Notamacropus eugenii: one gene and its partner. The protein of the gene in region 2 purifies or fractionates together with the protein of the main gene of each other region. This does not show direct contact. Links are inferred from orthologs where the notes say so. Each region holds a gene or a part of one and is shown on either strand. Other genes may lie near its edges.

The links.
Region 1: the proteins of KLC2 (region 2) and KIF5A purify together in Homo sapiens (affinity purification with western blotting; 3 studies listed by BioGRID and IntAct, with this or other methods). This does not show direct contact. The link is inferred for Notamacropus eugenii from reciprocal best matches to the Homo sapiens genes KLC2 and KIF5A.

What each region holds. Positions count from the first base shown.
Region 1 is NC_092874.1:232,926,669-232,936,278, reverse strand, and holds the start of KIF5A (kinesin heavy chain), read right to left. Parts: upstream 3,602-9,610; 5' UTR 3,316-3,601; coding exon 3,187-3,315; intron 1-3,186. Other genes in the region: DCTN2 (dynactin subunit 2), read left to right, coding at 8,304-8,339. UniProt on the Homo sapiens protein: Microtubule-dependent motor required for slow axonal transport of neurofilament proteins (NFH, NFM and NFL). Can induce formation of neurite-like membrane protrusions in non-neuronal cells in a ZFYVE27-dependent manner.
Region 2 is NC_092873.1:18,869,083-18,878,499, forward strand, and holds the start of KLC2 (kinesin light chain 2), read left to right. Parts: upstream 1-5,267; 5' UTR 5,268-5,396; coding exon 5,397-5,867; intron 5,868-5,965; coding exon 5,966-6,196; intron 6,197-6,384; coding exon 6,385-6,454; intron 6,455-6,703; coding exon 6,704-6,926; intron 6,927-7,507; coding exon 7,508-7,595; intron 7,596-7,696; coding exon 7,697-7,798; intron 7,799-7,897; coding exon 7,898-8,071; intron 8,072-8,179; coding exon 8,180-8,279; intron 8,280-8,386; coding exon 8,387-8,436; intron 8,437-8,522; coding exon 8,523-8,590; intron 8,591-8,677; coding exon 8,678-8,786; intron 8,787-8,874; coding exon 8,875-9,030; intron 9,031-9,135; coding exon 9,136-9,260; intron 9,261-9,354; coding exon 9,355-9,412; intron 9,413-9,417. UniProt on the Homo sapiens protein: Kinesin is a microtubule-associated force-producing protein that plays a role in organelle transport. The light chain functions in coupling of cargo to the heavy chain or in the modulation of its ATPase activity.

The DNA of each region.
Region 1 (9,610 bases), on a different chromosome or scaffold from region 2:
TTAAAGAAGCAGTTACTAGGCATCAGAGTAAAGGAACATATGTGTGGAAGGTGGTTAGAATGTGGGACTAATTATCATTCCTCCTGTGTTTGCTCCACCTCTATTCTGGTAGAGATGCATCCTAGACAGCCTGGCGCCCCAGACACCAGGTCTTTCTCCATCAGAGCTGTAAGAGGGATCCATGTACGCAGAGAAACAATGAATGACACAGAGTGAGTGCACACCACACAGTAACTCCGACACCATTTTAAAATCAAACAAGCTGTGAATATTGTCTATGACCCTTCCCTCAGATCCATGGGAAGAGTTATGGGGGGCACAGAGAGAGTTTACAATATTGTCCCCTAATCCCTAATCCAAAGCTTAGTCATTTAAAAAGGTTGCTTTTTTTTTTTTTAACAAAAGGTCTACAGAGACCAAGTAATGCTGGTTACAAAGAGAGAAGGTTGCAAGGAGTTAGGGCCAAGGGAGTTTATCCTTCTCTTTTCCCTACAAACATACCTTCTATGATCTTCCCTTACATTTCAGCAGATCTTAAAACATCCCCTAATTCATTCCTCTCAACCTTTTCCTTTTTTACATATTTTTTCAATATTCATTATTTTATAAGATCCAAAATTTTCTTTCTCCTTCCCTCCCTCCCTCTCCCCTCCCCAAGAAGGCAAGCAGTCTGATATAGGCTATGCATGTGCAATCATGGTAAACATATTTCCACATTAGTTTTTCAGCCTTTTCCAAAATAAGGATAGAGGGACAGAGATTCCCTCTTCCCTACTGGCAAAGCCAGGACTGTCCCTCAAAATACCTAATCGCCCCATAAATGCTTCTTTGCTCAGGTCTCATGTCCTCAGTGCAAGGACATATGGATGTAAAATAGGGAGACAGAACTACCAAGGTTTCTGAGACAAAATGACCCCTCTGTCTAAGCCTGTAGAATGAGAGAAACAAGGAGACAGATGGGAAAATTTGAAGCCCCCCAAAAGAGGGAAAAGACAGAGGTGGTCTCAGTAAAGTGTCTCTTCTTTCCCTCTTTGAATATATATCATCTATTGTCTTAACTGGGGAAAGCTGGGAGACACAACCCATTCCTTACCTTTTAATTAAATAGAATCATAGCACTGAAGTATTATGAAAGAAAGAGAGAAGTTTAGTTCAACATTATCTGAAAAATCCATCTGCAACAACTAAACTCAGGGGTAGAGTGGTTAAAGTCTATAAAGTCTACCTAATGTGCTCGTTGTCACTAACCACCCATATTCCCACAGCCTTCTTTTCCCTTATGTCTTCTGGCCCATAGTTAATCACTGTTTCATTGAATCCTAAGATCTGGAATTTGAGCAGAGCCTAAAGGTCACAGGAGGGAAGCCAGGAGGTGGTCTAACTTAAATCCTATTGTACAGGAATGTATCAAGAAGTGGTCATTCAGTCTCCTCTTGAAGATCACCTTGTTCAACAACACTGCACCGCCCCCCCCCCCCCCCATTTAGAGAAAAGGAAATTGAAGTCTGTTAAATTTGAGTCATACAGGTAATAAGTGGCAGATTTGGGATTTGAACACAGTTCCTTAGATTCCAAATCTAGTGTTCTTCCTGCTATACCATTGGCTGCTGAAAGAGAGAAAAGCATCTCCAGATGCTAAGCAGGGATTTAAATTTATTTATTTATTTATTTAAGATGGGTTCAGTCAAGATGGGAGGAAGGGGAGGAGAGGGTGGGAAATGAGGAGAGAAAAGCAGACCTTATCTTCATGGCACCAAATAAACACATTAAAATGACAAGCAAATAGCATCCATCTTTTTGAGTCAACAGTTAGGACTCCAGTTGGGGGAAGGACAGAGTGGAATTGGTTGTCCTTGAGGACTGAGGCAGGGAAGAATGGGTCTCAGTCTCTGTCTCTGTCTGTCTGTCTCTCTCAATTCCTCTTTCATCTAAAACTCCATTCCCTCTGTCTTTAGTACATCCTGACAATCGTTGCTGTACCCCTCCCCCAAGTATATCTGTACTCTTAATATTTCCCTCTTCTAAACCCCCACTTCAGACTTTTCAGCTCTCAGGCTCTACTACCCTTACATTCTTCTCCAATTTCAGGGGTTACCTGGATCCCATAACCACACAGCCCTTATTATTCCAGTTGTGACAGACATGAATTATGAAGATTTGGGAAGTCTTTAGGATACTACCAGACTTGGACTGGAGCCTGGGCCTAGGAATCAAACCTAGGCCATGATGCAGGGGAATGACGTGCACTCTTGATCTCCTCCTCCATGGGTGGGGACTGTTGTGATGAAACTGGTTACTATGAAAAGATGTGGTTAGATAGGGATACTGAACATGTTGGCTATTTTTTGAGGAGATGAAGGGACCTGCACCTTAAATATGCCTTATCCTGCATCCTTTTCCCTACTAAGTTCTGTCCTAAGGGGTTGCAAATAGTTTAATTTTTTTATTTTTACCTCAGAGGCTTTTTTTCCCTCCATCAACCCAAATTGGTGTGGGAGGGTACACAGCAGTGACCTTCAGAACCGTGATTGGGACAAGTTAAAGCGATAGTAGTGGGGCTGAGAGATGGAAATAGCCCTCCAGTCTATAAATCCCCAGAGCCGAAGAATGGTATCCTCTGGCCCCACACCTTAGGCCTCCCTGGGGTGAGCAGACTAAGCATAACAAAAGACACCCAGGATCCTCTTCCTAGCAGATCTAGTCTCAACTGGGGTGTGGTTGGGATACAAAGGTGAAAACTGGGAGTACGGATGAGATTAGGAATAGAATCTTGACCTCTGAATTAGAAAATGGGAGAATAAATGTATAACTGGTTAGCACACTGCAAGGGGGGGCGGGATTCGAAATCATTGATTGGATTAGGGTGTAGGTTAAAAGGGAGATATTAAATACACCTGCTTCATCTCGGCAGAGAACCAAGAGTTCAGATTCTAGCCCAGGCCACACCCATTTAAGGCCTGAGCTAAGGATTGAGTGGGGAGGGAGGGGCTGCGGAAGTGGGGGGAATGGAGAAAGAAGGGGAGGAATGGAGGGATGATGGAGGGAGAAGGAGAACAGAGAGTGAAGGGAAATGGAGAGAGGAGTTGGATGAGTGGAGGAACAAAACAAGCATTAACTCTGGCATCTGGGACATATCCTATAGGGATGCCCATCCCTGCACCCCATCATCCTCTGGTGGGCACTCACCCCAATAATGACGCTGTCGTCCCCTTGAAAAAGGGGGATAAATTTGTCACCCCGCAGAATCTCCGACTGGTTCAGGGGTCTGAATCGACAGAGCACCTTGATGCTGCACTCATTGTTGGTTTCCGTCATGGTGATGACCGGTGGTGGTAGCGGTGGTGGTGGTGTGGGGGCGCTTTGGAGAAAGGCTGGGGGAGCTCAGCAGAGACGAGAGGAACAGAAGTGACTCAATCTCCTGCACTGATGCTATATGGAGAAGGAAAAGGAAGGCTGATGAAGGGAGAGGAGCTGGGGAAGCTCTCTCTGATGGTTCAGGAGATTTTCAGAGAAAACCCCCTCAGCTTCGCCTCTGGTTCTCTCTTTCCTCTCTGCCTCAGCCCCTCCCGCTGCAGCTCTACTCTGCGGGGTTGCTGGAGTTGGGGGGGGGGGGGATTCTGGGAGAGAGCAGGAGGCGGGGCTTCTCTTAAGGTGGAAGGGGTTGGGCTGTTGATGGGAAAGGATCCGGCCCCCCCTTTCTTAATTTGCTAGATAAACTATTCATCCCTTCCTGACTGTTCCCACCAGAGGGAACCGGGGCTTTCCCCCCAAATACCCCCATTTCCCATATAATTACTGAATCCTGGATACCCTTGTCCCCTCGGATAACCAGTTTGATAATGTTGACTAAGAACTGGCTGCAGAAGAACAACATCCCCGCCCCCCACCCCAGCTCCACCCTCTAGGAGTGGAGGAGGGAAGCAGAGAAATAAAGCTCCCCATCCCAATGGAGGAAGGCGTAATGATCAAGATTCAGGACCTCTTCCTTCCCGGACAGCTGCCCCTCCTCCCCAGTATAAACTGGTGGAGGGTAGTGAGGGCCCTTCCTAACTGAGTAGTCCTTGAAAGAGACCAAACAGCCCTTCCCCTAGCAGGTGCATTCCAAGACCCCATGGTGGATGGGGGTCGGGGCAGGGAAAGCATGAGCTGTCGGGATGTTCTTCTTTCCACTACCATAGACGTTTCTCTGGAAGGGCAAAGTTCGTGGATAGACATTGGGGGGCGAGGGGAGTTCAGAGGAGAAAAAACATTCTAAGGTCCTGCGCACTTGTGTGTGTGTGTGTGTGTGTGTGTGTGTGTGTGTGTGTGTGTGTGCTTGTAAATAAAGTCCTGAGGAAAGGATTGTTCAGGTTCTGATTCTTCCTCCTTAAGAGAGAGAGTTACTGAAGTCAAAAGACTTGAGTTTCAAACCCAGTTGAGCCACTTAGCGCCAGAACTAGAGCGATTGGGGTTTTGTTCAAGGGCATAAACATGGTGGTCGAGGATCTTGCTTCCTCTCCACAGCAACCGCAGTTCCCGTGCAACCAGCATCCTCTTGCAAATGCAACTGCCATCCTCTGGCAACCACAATCCTCCGGTCTTAGCCTCCTGGTCCTTGACCCAGCAGAGTCATTACACTGGTGAAACAGTCCCCAGGCCTGTCCAGTCCCTATGGACCACCTGACTAACCCAACTTCCTCAGAATGAGGGCTGAACTCTCTAGGGGTACTGCTCTCCCCATCTCCTTGAGAAAACACAGGCTGTCCACTCCAGCTACCCTCTTCCATCCCCAGCTGAATTTGCCCCAGCTACAAAAATACCTAGCTATGACTCTGAGTGTGTGACCTTGGGCAAATCATTACTCCTTGTCTGAGCCTCCCTTTCCTCCTTTGTAAAATGAAGGCACTGAAGCAGATCTTTCTGAATGTCCACTATGCTGTCTGATTCTCTGGTGTTCTCATATCTGCTGGCTGGGCTGGGGGAGGCACTGAAATGCAAATGGCAGGCAGAGGAGTAGGAAAGCTGGGGGAGACAAGAGCCTTATGCAGTGATCATTTGTAGAATGGCCTGTATATGTGTTGTTCAGTGTCCTGAATTTCCCTGCGCAGTCATCTCTTCCCTTTCTGAGACCCTGAACAGTCATCATCCCTCAAATCCCTTCCCCCAGGTCTGACTCTTGCTGCAGCCCCTGAGCAGATCTATAAAGAGGCAAGTCAGATTGATTTTTCTAGACGTCATTAGCCTTGGCAGGCAGGAGAGGCAGTTGGGAAGCAAAGTCAGACTGCAGGAGCTGGAAAGGGCTCTCTGGACACTCTGAAATTCTCTAGGGGGAGAGGAGTGGTTGAACCTCTCAGTGTATGATGAGCTTGTGCATCAAGGTGAGTAGGGGTACTCGAGTTGAACACAACTAAGAATTTTTTCAGGTTGAGCATCCTCACCACCCCACCCAATCTAGGGCTAGAAGACTCAACGACAAGGGGCAAAGGATAAGGGGACAAAGCGATGAAAAAGAAATGAGAGCCACATAGGAAGATGAATTGTAATGAACAACTCACAATTATACTTGCTTTACTCATCATAATCCTGTGAGGTAGGTGACATGAGCATTACTGTCCTCATTATATTGAAGAAAGTAAAGTAACTTACCCACTGGTCACCCAACTAGTAAGTGTACCTGGGAATCACACCCATATCTTTTGACTCTGAGTCAATTTTCTTTCTACTATGTCATACATTTCCATTCATGCAGTCAGTAATTGTGTCACATTTCTTAAGGTTTCAGCATGATAAAATGACAAGCATCCAGCCTTGCTTATCTGTTAAATGAGGACTAATAATGCATGAATTACCTATATGAATTATCAATCAATAAACATTTATTAATCACACGCTATGTGCAAAAAAGCACTGTGCTAAACCTGAGGATACAAAAAGTCAAAAGACAGTCCTTGCCTTCAAGAAGCTTAAAATCTAATGGTGAAGAAAATACACAAATAAATACAAAGCAAGCTATATATAGGATAAGTAGGAAGTAATGCACCAAGGGAAGCTGCTGGAATGAAGATCAGTTAAAGAAGGTTTCATGTAGACCATAGAATTGGTGTGAGGAAACCACCTGGATCCCAGGTGATCTACCATCATGTTATTTGCTGCCCATAGAATACAACGGAAAGGGTGCTGGGTATGGAGCCAGAGGACTGACCAGTTCAAATCTCAGCTCTACCTCTTTTTAAATATTTTATTTTTTTAATTAATTATTTTTTCAATTAAGCATGCATTTTATTCTCCCTGCCATTTCTCCCTTTACTAGGAAGAGAGGGGGGAAATCAGGGAACTTTTAATAGTAACTATTGCATAGTCAAGCAGAACAAATTCCCATATTGGCCATATCCAAAAATGTGTAACTCATTCTGCAATACTAAGTCACCTTTCTGTCAGGAGGTGGATGAGATCATTGCTCTGAAATCATGGTTGGTCATTGTGCTGATAAGAGTTCATAAGACTTTCATGGTTGTTTAAAGAAAAAGAAATGAAAATCCACCTTCTCTCCCTTCTATACCCACTTCCCAAATATAGATACAGTGAAAAAGAAAAACAAAATCCTTATAACACATATGTATAGTTCAGTGAAACAAATTCCAGCATCAGGTATGTCAAATACACACACACACATATATGTACACACATACATGCATGCACATATATGTCTCAATCTGCATTCTGCAACTATCATCTTTCTGTTAGGAGGCAGGTGGAATATTCCTCTGGAATCATGACTGGTCATTTCACTGATTAGAATTCTTCAGTCTTTCTGAGATTTTTGTCCTTAGAATATTGTTGCTGCATAAATTCTTCTTCTGGTTCTGCTCAATTTACTCTGCATCAGTTCATACACATCTTCCTAGATTTCTCTGGGCACCCCTTTCATCGTTTCTTTCAGCACAATAGTTTTGTCACATTCAAATCTCATAACTTGTCCAGTCATTTCCCAACTGACAAACATCTCCTTAGTTTTCAGTTCTTTGCCACCACAAACACACACACATACACACACACACACCCCACTACCTATGTGTGTCACTGGGAAATTCACTTAACCTAGCGGGTCAGTTTTCTCCTGTGTAATGGGAAGGGTTTGGAGTCTAAACTTCAGATAAAACCCTTATAACAAATATGTACAATCAAGTGAAACAAATTCCCACATTGGGTAGGTCTAAAAAAAAAAGTCTCAGTCTGCGCTCTGAGTCTTATCACCTCTTTTTGTCAGGAAGTTTGGTAGCATCTTTTACTAGCTCAGCAGTTTTAAATATGAAGGAGCTTTTTCTTTTTATAAGTGTATTTCATTATAATGGAATTCCTTTATAATCCTATGTATTTATTTTATTCATTTAAAAACATCATTCTGAGGAGAGCCCCATAGATTTCCTCTGATTTTAGTGCCTTCCCTCTCAGATTATTTTCTCCTCATGCTGTATATATCTTGTTTATACATAGTTGTTTGAAATTGTCACCCACATTGATTGTGAGCTACTGGAAAGCAAAGACTGTTTTTGCCTTTGTATCCCCAAGGCTGTGGGCACATGTTCTTGTTGTTCAGTAGTGTCTGACTCTTTTTGACTCCTTGGCAGAGATACTGGAGTGGTTTGCCATTTCCTTCCCCAGTTCATTTTACAGATGAGGAAACTGAGGCAAACAGGGTTAAATGACTTGCCCAGGGTCACACTGCAGTAAATGTTTGAGGAGGTATTTGAACTGAGGTCTTTCAGGCTCAATGATCTATTTACTGAGCCCGTGTGGGCACACAGTAGGCTCTAAATAAATGCGCTTGACTCTCGCACATTGCCAAAGAAGGAGGCTGTTTTTTGGTTAAAAACCTCTGGATTAAATGATCTCCACGGTCCCTTCTAGCTTTATATCCATGATCCTATAACAAGATACATTGTTTCAATATCTTCAAGGGAGGCTACACTCTGACTACCCTTCGGACTACACATCCCACAATCCTAGTTGGTTCTCTTCCCCCATTACCTCATCTCTCTGCCTCGTTTGCGCCTGCCTCTACCTCACGGTTGGTGGGGGGGCAGCGGCTAAGAACCCTCAATTCTCGCGAGGTCGGCTTCTCCCTCTCTTGGCTCTGCCGACTCCCGGCCGTCTTTTCGCGAGACTTCGTTCCCCTCTGCCGCCCCTGCCGCCGCATCCGACTAAGCCCTGGACCGGGCCCCCGACCGGCTTCTTCCGCGGGCAGAGCTCGAGCTTCGGCTCCGGCCCCGCCGAGGCCCCGGATCCCCCCTGCCCTGTCTTCCCTGCCCTCTTCTGCCAGTGTCATGGCGGACCCCAAATACGCCGACCTCCCCGGCATTGTGAGTAGAGGGCCCGGACAGCCCCCGCCCCGCGGCCCGGCACGGTCCCTTCCCGGCCGCGCTGCTTCGGCCGTCGCCGGGGACCCGCCCGCGGGCGCTGGCTCGAGCGCCCCGGCTCGCGCCTGGGCCCCGGTGGGCTGCCCCCTCCCGGTCCCCGGCGCCCCACCCCACCCCCGCCCCGGGGTGCGGCCGGCCAGGAGCGCCGGAGGTGGAGCCGGAGCCGAGTCCGAGTCCTTTCTGTCTCCCGGACGGCCTGTGCCGCCCGGGCGAGTCCTGCAGCCGCGGTGCCCCGGGCCTGCCCAAGGCCGCCTTCAGCTGCAGGCTGTGCTCCTGCCCCTCCCCGCACCCTCTCCGTGACAAGTGGTCCTTACCCTGGGGCCCAGGAGCTCTTTTTTTCTTTGTGTAGTTTGATAAGTGACTTTTTATATAATTGATTTCCTTTGTCATCCTAGGTGTTTATTTTGTGCATTTAAAACCAATCCGAGAGTGGATTCGTAGGTTTCACCAAAAAAGATGAAGAAACCCCGATCTCAAACCCTCTTAAACCTATCCCAGGGTTTGTCAGATCCTCCCTCCAGGCTTCTCTCTTCCTGTCTGTCTCCACCCACCCTCTGTGCATCGTAGCACCCTTGAGAGTATTCTGACCACCTAGCACCTGGCTTCCATCCCTGAGCTCCTTTCTCTCCACCTCCCTCTTTTTTATTTTTTCAATTAACAAGCAATTTTTTCCCTCTTCCCCCGTTGCGGGGAGAAAGATAAAACCCTTATAACAAATATACGTAGCCCTTATTTGTTACAAGTTTTTTTTTTCTTGGTGGCGGGGGAGAGACGGTTGGGAGAGCCTGGGAGGAAGAGAAAATAGATGCTTGATATCTTTTTACTTTAATGTGATAATATGAAGTCAAATAAAACAAATTCCCACAGTAGCCCCCTCCAAAAAATCATATATCCGATTCTTCATCCTGAATCCACCACCACCTCTCTTTCAGTATATGGTGGCATGGTGTCTACCCCCTGGAATTCTGACTGGTCATTGCATGGATCAGAGTTTTAAAATCTTTCAAGATGGCTTGTCTTTACAATTTATTGTTATTATGTAAATTGTTCTCTATCTTCTCTGTGAAAGCTTTCCTTTTGTTTGCTCATTTTCTGTTAGTGTGCTCTTCCAGACTGCCACCAATTCCATTACACTGTAGCTTTCTTAGACTATCCCCACAACCTCACATTTCACTCACCCCCAACTTATACCTCAGAAGCTCATTCACCTCTCA
Region 2 (9,417 bases):
GTGGAGTATTTGAAGAGGTGTTATATGGTGGAGTAATTCGACTTGTTCTAATTTGTTCTGCCCAGAGAGCAGAACCAGGAATTGTGAGGGGACGTTGCAAAAATACAACTCTAGACTTGATATCAGGAAAAACCTCCTCCCAATGGAAGCTGTGCAGTGGAATGGGCCATCTTGAGAGGGTCTCCAGGCAGAGGGTGAGACCACTGGTCAGGCTTCTTTTCATGCCTGTTGAACTAGATAGAGGCTACTGAGGTGCCTTTCATCTCCCTAAATCTGTGATTCTCTGATTTAAATTAGTCAGCACAATGAGGGGCCTGGAAACCACCTCCCAAGCAAGTGCTTGTCATGAGGTGAACACTTCACAAATGGTCATCGACTGCTTTACTTGACCTGCTTGCACAACAGTGAGGACTGACCTCCAAGGACATCTAAGCACAGGTGTAGAATATGAAGGAGAAGGGTGGAAGATGATGAACAGTACCACCTCAGAGAGCAAGAGTGAACACATGAGTCCTCACTGATAGGAGCCTTGCTCAAGCCAAGAACACCTACTGGCTGTCAGTGATAGAGCTGGATAATGAGGGAAAGACCACTGCACTTGAGATCATGAAACACCTGGGTTTGAATCCCAGCTCAGATGCTCAACTGGCTGTGTGACCCTGCCCAAGTCACTTAACCCAAGCCTTCTTTCTCTCATCTGTCCTCACTTCTAACCTAGCACTGCTCTCCACTCCGGAGACTTCTATGCCTCCCCCCATCTCCTCATCTGCCTCCCCAAGCAGGGAGATGCCTCTGCCCTGGCAGCCTCCTTGGATCAGTGAGTCGCTGCCCTGAACCTACATTTAATGGAGTGCCCAAACCAGCCATGGTTCCTTCTAACCAGGTCAACTCTGTTGTTCATTGAACATCTACACCTTGCCCCTTGTGGGAGTTCCTCCTTCTCCTCCCACTTCTTAAATTTTTTTTTAAAGCAATCAGGGTTAAGTGATTTGCCAAGGGTCACACAGCTAGTGAAACTGCAAATCTATTATTTACAATTTGCTACCCCTTTTTAAATATATAATAAAGTTATCAAGTAAATTCTTTGTTCCCCCTCCTCCTCTTCCCAGAAATGGTTACCATTAGACACTGGTAATCATTTAATATCATTTGAACCTCAATAAGGACCAGAGTCTAAACTAATCAACCAGAAGAAGCCCCGCAACCTGACAGATATTCTCCTTCTTACATTTCCTGTGGCAACAAGGCCAGAGAGAGCTAAGAGCATTTTCCTCTGTTTATGGCCACTAAGACCTTAACCCGAGACACTACCTGGAATAAAAGGACTTTTCTTATCTTAATATTTTATGGACATATACTATAACTATGTCAGGTTAATGATAAAGAAAACAGATATCCTGGGTCATAATTTCAATTGACACTGTCAACTTTCTTATCTTACTGTATTTATTACCTATTCAGTTATGAAAATTCCTTTTTCATACTATGGTTAAACATATTTGGAGATCATAAATTTAAGTGACGTAGACATCCTGAGTCGGAATTGTTCTAAAATGTATTTAAGTCTTCTCATTCTTTTTATCAGACAGATTTTATCTGGCTCTGTGCATGCATGTATTCTGCTAGCTTTAAGGGAATAAAATAACGTGAATTTATAAATCCCCTAGCCTGTTTGCCTCTTTTAACAAAACTTTCAGGTTGACAACACAAATATATATGTATATATGTGTATGTAAAATTTATAGATATATAACATGTTATATATATGTAAAATTATATATTATATATGTAAAATTATATGTTATATTATACATATTATGTATATGTAAAATTACTACATACTTGTATTTATCAGTTCTTTCTCTGGATGCAGATAGCATCTCCCTTCACGTGTCCTCTGTAGCTAATTTGGGTACTCATAATGGTGGAATACAATGATAAAAATGAAACAGTCCCTGGCCTCAAGAAGTTTACATTCTCTCAAGGGAGACCTCCATATGTAAATATATATGAAATGCATCCAAAATACAAACAAAGTAGTTTTGGAGGAGGGGAGAGCCAGCAGCTAGGGGTGTCAAGAAAGGATTCAAGAGGAAAATGGCACTTGTGTTGAGTCTTGAAAGTAAGGGATTCTCAGAAGCAGAGGTGAGGAGAAAGGGCATTCCAGGCATGGGGACCAGCCAGTGTAAAAGCCTAGAAACAGGAGATGGAGGATAGCATCCAGTTTGGCTGCTGGTAGTATAGGAGGGAGAGCAATATCCAGGATGACATGGGCTAGGGTCAGACTGTGAAGGACTTAAAAAGAAAAACAGAGGTTTTTCTATTTTATCTTAGATCAACAGGAAACTACTCCTAGTGTAGAGCGTGGAGGAGTCACATGAGCAGATCTCTGCAGAAGGAATATCCCTTGGGCAGCTTTGTGGAAGACACATTTGGGTGGGGGGAGACTAGAGGCCATTGTCATAGTTGTGGAGAAGAGATATGGGCCTAAGCTAAAATGGGGGCTTGTGGATACCAAGAAACAGTCAGTAATGAGGGATTGCATGGTGAGAGAAACAAGATTTGGGTTCAAACCCAGGAGAATAGAACTGAGACAATGCCCTCAACAGAAATTTGTGTTGCTGTTCAATGATTCAGGTGAGTCCCTTCTTGACCCTATGGCCCATAGCATGGCACAAATTGGAAAGTGACAAATCAGGGTAAGTTTGAAGGAAAAGATGAGTTCTCTTTTGGATATTCTGAATTTGAGTTACAAGGACATCCACTTGGAAATGCCCAAAAGGCAGTTGGTGATGCAGCATTGAGACTCAGGGCACTGTGACTTGGACATATAGATTTGGGCATCGCCTGTATAAAGACAATAATTAAACCGTGGGAGCTGATGAGGACCAAGAAGAGGACTAAGGGATAGAGGAGCAGCTACGAGTCAGGAATACTAGCTGTGTGACCCTGGGTAAATCATTTCATCCTGCATGCCTCAGTTTACTCATCTGTAAAATAAGCTGGAGAAGGAAATGGCAAACCACTGCAGCATCTTTGCCAAAAACCAAATCTATAGAGGGTCACAGAGAGTTGGACACAACTAAATCACAAATCCCTCTATTTCCTCCCAACTTCCAACGTCCTGCTCTAACGCCTCATCTTGGAGTGCTTCTATAAGTCTATGGCATTCTGTTGTGTTCCAAAGGCTTCAAGACCAATCCCAGTATTTACCACTTTTTTGGCTTTCTGAGGATCGGCCCAAGCGCAAGGCAGGGAGGGGGTCATCACCACCAGATTGCGTCCTTGATGAGTTCTTTGACTGTGACTAAAACCCGGGCAACCAGGAAAGGCACAAAAGAGCCTTGGGTCCTGTAAGCCAGCACTTGAAAAGTGATGGTGCAGGGAAGAGAAAGGGCGGCGGAAGGGGCTGGGGATCCCAGTTCTTGGGCAATCTGGAAGTCTTAGCTCAGTCATCAGTCCTTCAAATGTAAGCCATTTAAGGTGAGTCCCAGAAGATGGCTAGGTATGGATGGAGTGTGGCCTTCAAGACTTTTTGATTCGATTACCCAATGTATACAGTTAAAAACTGTAAAAATGTCAGGTATCACCATCTTGTTACATTCTGGTTTGTGCGCATGTAAGTCTTCTGCCCCCAGGATTACAAAGTATCTTATCCCCTGGGGAAAGGTTGCAGAATGACAGACAGAGAGCCTTTATTCCCTTTTTTCCGTGAAGGGACATGTACAAATATACCCCGGTGCCCGCTGTCTCTCCGAACAGCTCGGTGCTTCCATAGTGCGTGTGGATTGATTGGAGCTGAAACAACAGAACCTAGAACCGCAACTGGAGGAAAAGAAGTCTTCAAGACGCGGATGAGTGAAAGAGATGCAGCAGAACGGGGCAGAGGCCGGGCCGGGCCGGGCGGCGCCCGAATTCCACTAAGGGGGAGGCGGGGGACTGGGAACTTGGGCTTCCGAACCGACTCCGCGATGCCCGGTCCGTGTGAGTGCGGGATCTGGCACTGAGCCCCGCCAGGCGCAGGCAAGCTCCCGCCCAGGACGCCTAGAGCAGCCCTGATCCGCGGGGAGCCCGGCGGACTGAGCCGGTGGAGCGGGGCCCCGCCGTGACGCGGCAAAGCCGCGGGTCCCAGGAGGAAGGACCGAAGCAGCCCCGGGGACGTTGGCCGGTTTATGGCGGACCAAGGCGGGGAGAAGTGGTAGGGCAAGTGTGTCGTGACTCTGCCTCCGCCCCGGGATCGGCCGCGGCGCCCGCAGAGAGACCTGAGAAACGCCACGTCTGGAGGCAAGAGAACACCTGCAGGTGCAACCTCACCCCAGGAGAGTTCGGGCCTGCTGGTCAACCAGGGGGAGTAACGGTCGGGGAGCGCGTGCGTTCGGTTGTGGGACCAGACGACGAGAGGCTGAGCAAGGTGGGGATGGAGGGACGAGAGGAGGGAGGAAACGGAGGGGATGGAGGGGATGGAGGGGATGGAGGGGTGGGGGGATGGAGAGGATGGAGGGGTGGGGGGATGGAGGGGTGGGGGGTAGGGAGGAAACTGACGGGATGGAGGAGATGGAGGGAAGAGGGGTGGGGGGATGGGGGATGGGGGATGGAGGGGTGGAGAAGGAAGGAGGGCTGGGGAGTTTGGGAGTGTAAATGGGGAACACCTCGGAGCAACCCCGCTCTTGTTTCTCAGCAAATCCCATCCTTCCGCCTGGGGCCAGGGGTGCCCCTTCCCACCCCTCCCCTCCCCCCCCACCCTTCCCTTCCCCTCCCCCGCTCTCCTCTTCCCCTCCCCCGCTGGTCTTCCCCTTTAAGGCGGCGGGGGAGGGGGCAGCACCCTCCCCTTCCCTTTAAGGCCCGCGGCGGCGGCGATCGCGCAGGCGCGTGGGTGGGCGCGGGGGCTGCCGGGAGAGGCGGCGATGGAGGCTGCGCGGGCCGTGCGGGGCAGCTGAGGCCGAGGAGGCCGGGCCGGGGCCGGGCCAGAGCTGGGGTTGGGGCCGGGGTGCGCAGGTGAGCGGGGGCAGGGCGGGGCGTCGTTCCGGAGAGAGGACGGGGGACCGGGAGCTCCTCCCGCCTGTGCCTCGGGCGCCCCCTGCGGGGCGGGGGGCTCCCCGCTCTGGCCCGGGGCACCCCTCGGGGAACCGGCAGGGACCGGTCCGGGGCATCTCCGGGGGAGGCGGAGCTCCCCTCTATTACGGGGTGCCCCGGGGGAAGGTCTACACTAGGAATAACTCCACACCTGCTACAAGTTGTCTGCCGTCTAGAGGGAAGGGGTGGGAGTGGAGATCACTCACAAGAAGGGCCTTCATCCCTAGGGGATGGACCAGGCAGGTCGGTGTGGTCCCTAGGGCCCAACTGGACCGGGGATAGGCCCCCATACAGCCCCAACCATCGGGGGGCTCCTCCCCCCCATGCTCCCTCCTCAGGGTCCCGGGGTGGGGGCTAAGAGGCCGAGTCCCCACCGCATTGCGTCTGGGAGGGAGAGCGGCCGCTGGAGACGCCCCCTGGAGGCCGCTGCAGGAAGTCCGGCCGAGCCACAGGCAGGACCCCCCTCCCGGCTGGGAGCCCCCCAGGCTGTCAGAGCCCCAGAGTTCTCGTCCTCCCCCTGCAGGGGCCTCCTCCCAAACCCGAACCCTCCGACCATGTCCACCCTGGTGATGTCTCGGGAGGAGAAGCCGAGCCAGGATGAGATCGTGCTGGGCACCAAGGCGGTCATCCAGGGGCTGGAGACCCTGAGGGGCGAGCACCGCGCCCTGCTGGCCTCCCTGCTGGAGAATGTGGCCGGGCGGGAGGCCGGCGAAGCCGAGCCCGGAGCCCAGGAGCGCTCGGGACTCCTGCGCCGATCTCTGGAGGCCATCGAGCTGGGACTCGGAGAGGCTCAGGTACCCGGGGGCCTGGGTCTGGGGGAGGCGGGGCCAGGAGTCCAGTGCCCCTCCCCCGGGCCCCCCTTCAGCCTTCTCTCCTGGCCGAGGGGCCGTAGGTGATTCTGGCACTGTCGGGCCACCTTGGGGCCGTGGAGTCAGAGAAGCAGAAGCTCCGGGCTCAGGTGCGCCGCTTGGTGCAGGAGAACCAGTGGCTCCGGGAGGAGCTGGCCGGGACCCAGCAGAAGCTGCAGCGCAGCGAGCAGGCCGTGGTCCAGCTGGAGGAGGAGAAGCAGCACCTGCTGTTCATGAGCCAGATCCGGAAGCTGGACGACGACCCTTCTGCCAACGTGAGCCCGGACCCTCCTCCGGCTGAGTGGGCTCCCTTTTCCTGGCACCCCTCTCCCGCCCCACACATAACCTACTCAGGGGCTCCCGCCCACAGGGCCGACTCTGGATCCCCTCCCTTCAGACCCTCCTCCACTGCTTTTCTCCCTTGTGTGATTTTTTTCTTTCGGGTTGCTGATTCATCCCTCAGGAGGAGAAGGGGGATGCTTCCAAGGATTCTCTGGATGACCTGTTCCCTAATGAGGATGAACAGAACCCAGGTAGGGAGATGGGGAGAAGTGGATCTCTTAACTTTGGGCCCTGTGACTGGTCAGGAGGTCTCAGTCCATGAGGGTGACCACATATATGCTTCTCAGAAGCAAGGGGGAGGAGTGTGTGACTGCATTGCCTGAGGACCCAGAAGTATGCAGATAAGGGGGAACCTCCCAAGACTCCCAAGTATGTGCTGCTGACTCTGTCCCAACCCCAGAAGGCCCTGGGGCCACCTCTGAACTCCTGCCTTCCTCCAGCTCAGGGCTCTGGGGCCGGAGATGCAAGCACCCAGCACGGAGGCTATGAGATTCCAGCCCGGCTTCGGACCTTGCACAATCTGGTGATTCAGTATGCCTCCCAGGGGCGCTATGAGGTCGCTGTCCCCCTCTGTAAGCAGGCCCTGGAGGATCTGGAGAAGACCTCAGGGCATGACCACCCCGATGTGGCCACCATGCTGAACATCTTGGCTCTTGTATACCGGTAAGGGGACGTCTGGACCTTGGGGAAGGGGCAGCTAGGTGGTGAGGGGAATAGTGTACCGGACCTGGAGTCAGGAAAACTCCATGAGTTCAAATCTAGCCTCAGCCATGTGGCTCTGGGCAAGTCACTTCACCCTGTTTGCCTCAGTTTCCTCACCTGTAAAATGAGCCGGAGAAAGAAATGGCAAACCACTCCAGTGTCTCTGCCCAAAAAAAACTCAAGTAGGGGCATGAAGGGTCAGGCAAGACTGGAAAATGACTAAATGAGAGGCAGCCTTGGATTCTGTACAAAGTAGGCTCTCCATAGGATTGACCCTACCCCAGGTGAAGAAAGGAGGGGCCGGTGTAGGTGTATGAACCTAGAAAACCCACACTGGTGCCTGAAAGCCCCTCATTGGCTCATCACTCCTCTGAGGTCAGCCTTCCTCCCCTCGAAGCCCCTCACAGAAGCTGAAAATCTCCCTGTGGCCCAGCAGGCAGAGTCCTGGCTCAAACTGGCAGCAGCCTCATTTTATAGATGGGGAGCAGGAAGTTGACCAGCAGTCCTTCCCCTGCCCCTCCCCCACCTCCTTGTCTTCTCAGTGATCAAAATAAATACAAAGAAGCTGCCCACCTGCTCAATGACGCTCTAGCCATCAGAGAGAAGACCTTGGGCAAGGACCATCCAGCTGTGAGTGAGGCCCGGCTCCCTGGGCTGGGGGTGTGGGGCGAAGAGGACCCTTGGCTGGCCAGGCCTCTGCAGCCGTTTTCCTCTCTTTGCCCTGGACCCAGGTGGCAGCTACCTTGAACAACCTGGCGGTTCTGTATGGCAAAAGGGGCAAGTACAGAGAAGCAGAGCCCTTGTGCAAACGAGCCCTGGAGATTCGAGAGAAGGTAGAACCCATCTGGGGGCCCCTGTCTCCCTGGGCCTGGGGGAGGAGCTGGGGGGGGTGCGTCAGGGCACAAGTGAAAGGAGCCTCCACCTTCTCCTAGGTGCTGGGCAAGTTCCACCCGGATGTGGCCAAGCAGCTGAACAACCTGGCCCTCCTCTGTCAGAACCAGGGCAAGGCCGAGGAGGTGGAGTACTACTACCGGCGTGCTCTGGAGATCTATGAGGCTCGGCTGGGTCCTGATGACCCCAACGTGGCCAAGACCAAGAATAACTTGGTGCCTGATCCAAGGGAGGCACTGGGGAGGGACAGCCAGGGCGCACTGTGGGCCCAGCATGGTAGGGCGGCTGGGGCCTCACTGTCTCCCTGTCTCCCCCTTCCTCAGGCCTCTTGCTATCTGAAGCAGGGGAAATACCAAGATGCAGAAACCCTGTATAAAGAGATCCTGACTCGTGCCCATGAGAAGGAATTTGGCTCAGTCAATGGCAAGTGTCCCCCCAGCCCATCCTGCCCTTTGGAAGGGGATGAACCTTTTAACCTGGTCTTGGGGCTCCAGGGCCTTGTGACAGCCCCTCCTTTCTGTCTTCCCCAGGAGACAACAAACCTATCTGGATGCACGCTGAAGAGAGGGAGGAAAGCAAGGTATGGGGAAGGAGAAACTCAGAGCTCAACTCCCCTTGGGGCTTGGCCCTTTCCTTCCCCAAGGTTTCACTTTTCCTCCCCTTCAGGAGAAGCATCAAGACGCCACCCCCTATGGAGAATATGGCAGCTGGTACAAGGCATGTAAAGTGGACAGGTGAGAGGAAAAACTGAACCCTGGGGGGTCTCGGGGGCTGGGGAGCAGAAACCGTGAGAACCCCTGGCTCATGCCCATTTTCTCCAGCCCCACGGTGAACACCACACTTCGGAGCCTCGGTGCTCTCTACCGCCGGCAAGGGAAGATGGAGGCAGCTCACACCCTGGAGGACTGTGCCACTCGCAGTAGGAAGCAGGTTGGCACAGGGCCTGGGAGGTCAGGGTAGGAGGCATCAGGGGCTTCTCAGCTTCACCCCCACCTCACCACTCTCCTCCTATAACCAGGGCCTGGACGCCATGAGCCAGACCAAGGTGGTAGAGCTGCTGAAAGATGGTGGTGGGCGAGGAGACCGCCGGAGCAGCCGAGAGGTTATTGGTGGCACAGGATCTCGAGCTGAGCCGGAGCCGGAAGATTTGGGGCCCACGGTCGAGTGGTCTGGGGTGAGGGGGCCATTGGGGATCATTGGGGGAGGTTAGGGTTAGGGTTTGGGAGGGGCAGGGACAGGAGAGCAGGCAAGCACAGCGTAGTGGTTCCTCTGCCCCCAGGATGGCAATGGTTCTCTCCGGAGAAGCGGTTCTTTTGGGAAGCTCCGAGATGCCCTGCGGCGCAGCAGTGAGATGCTGGTAAAGAAGCTGCAGGGGGGCGGCCCCCAAGAGCCTCCCAACCCCCGGTGAGAGCCCTCCCCCACCTGGCCCCCCTAGGCCTAGCCTCCCCTCAGCTGCCCCCCACTCCTGGGGATGTCAGCTCCTCCTCTCCTCCCACAGGATGAAGCGAGCCAGCTCCCTCAACTTCCTCCACAGGAGTGCAGAACAGACCAGCCAGGTGAG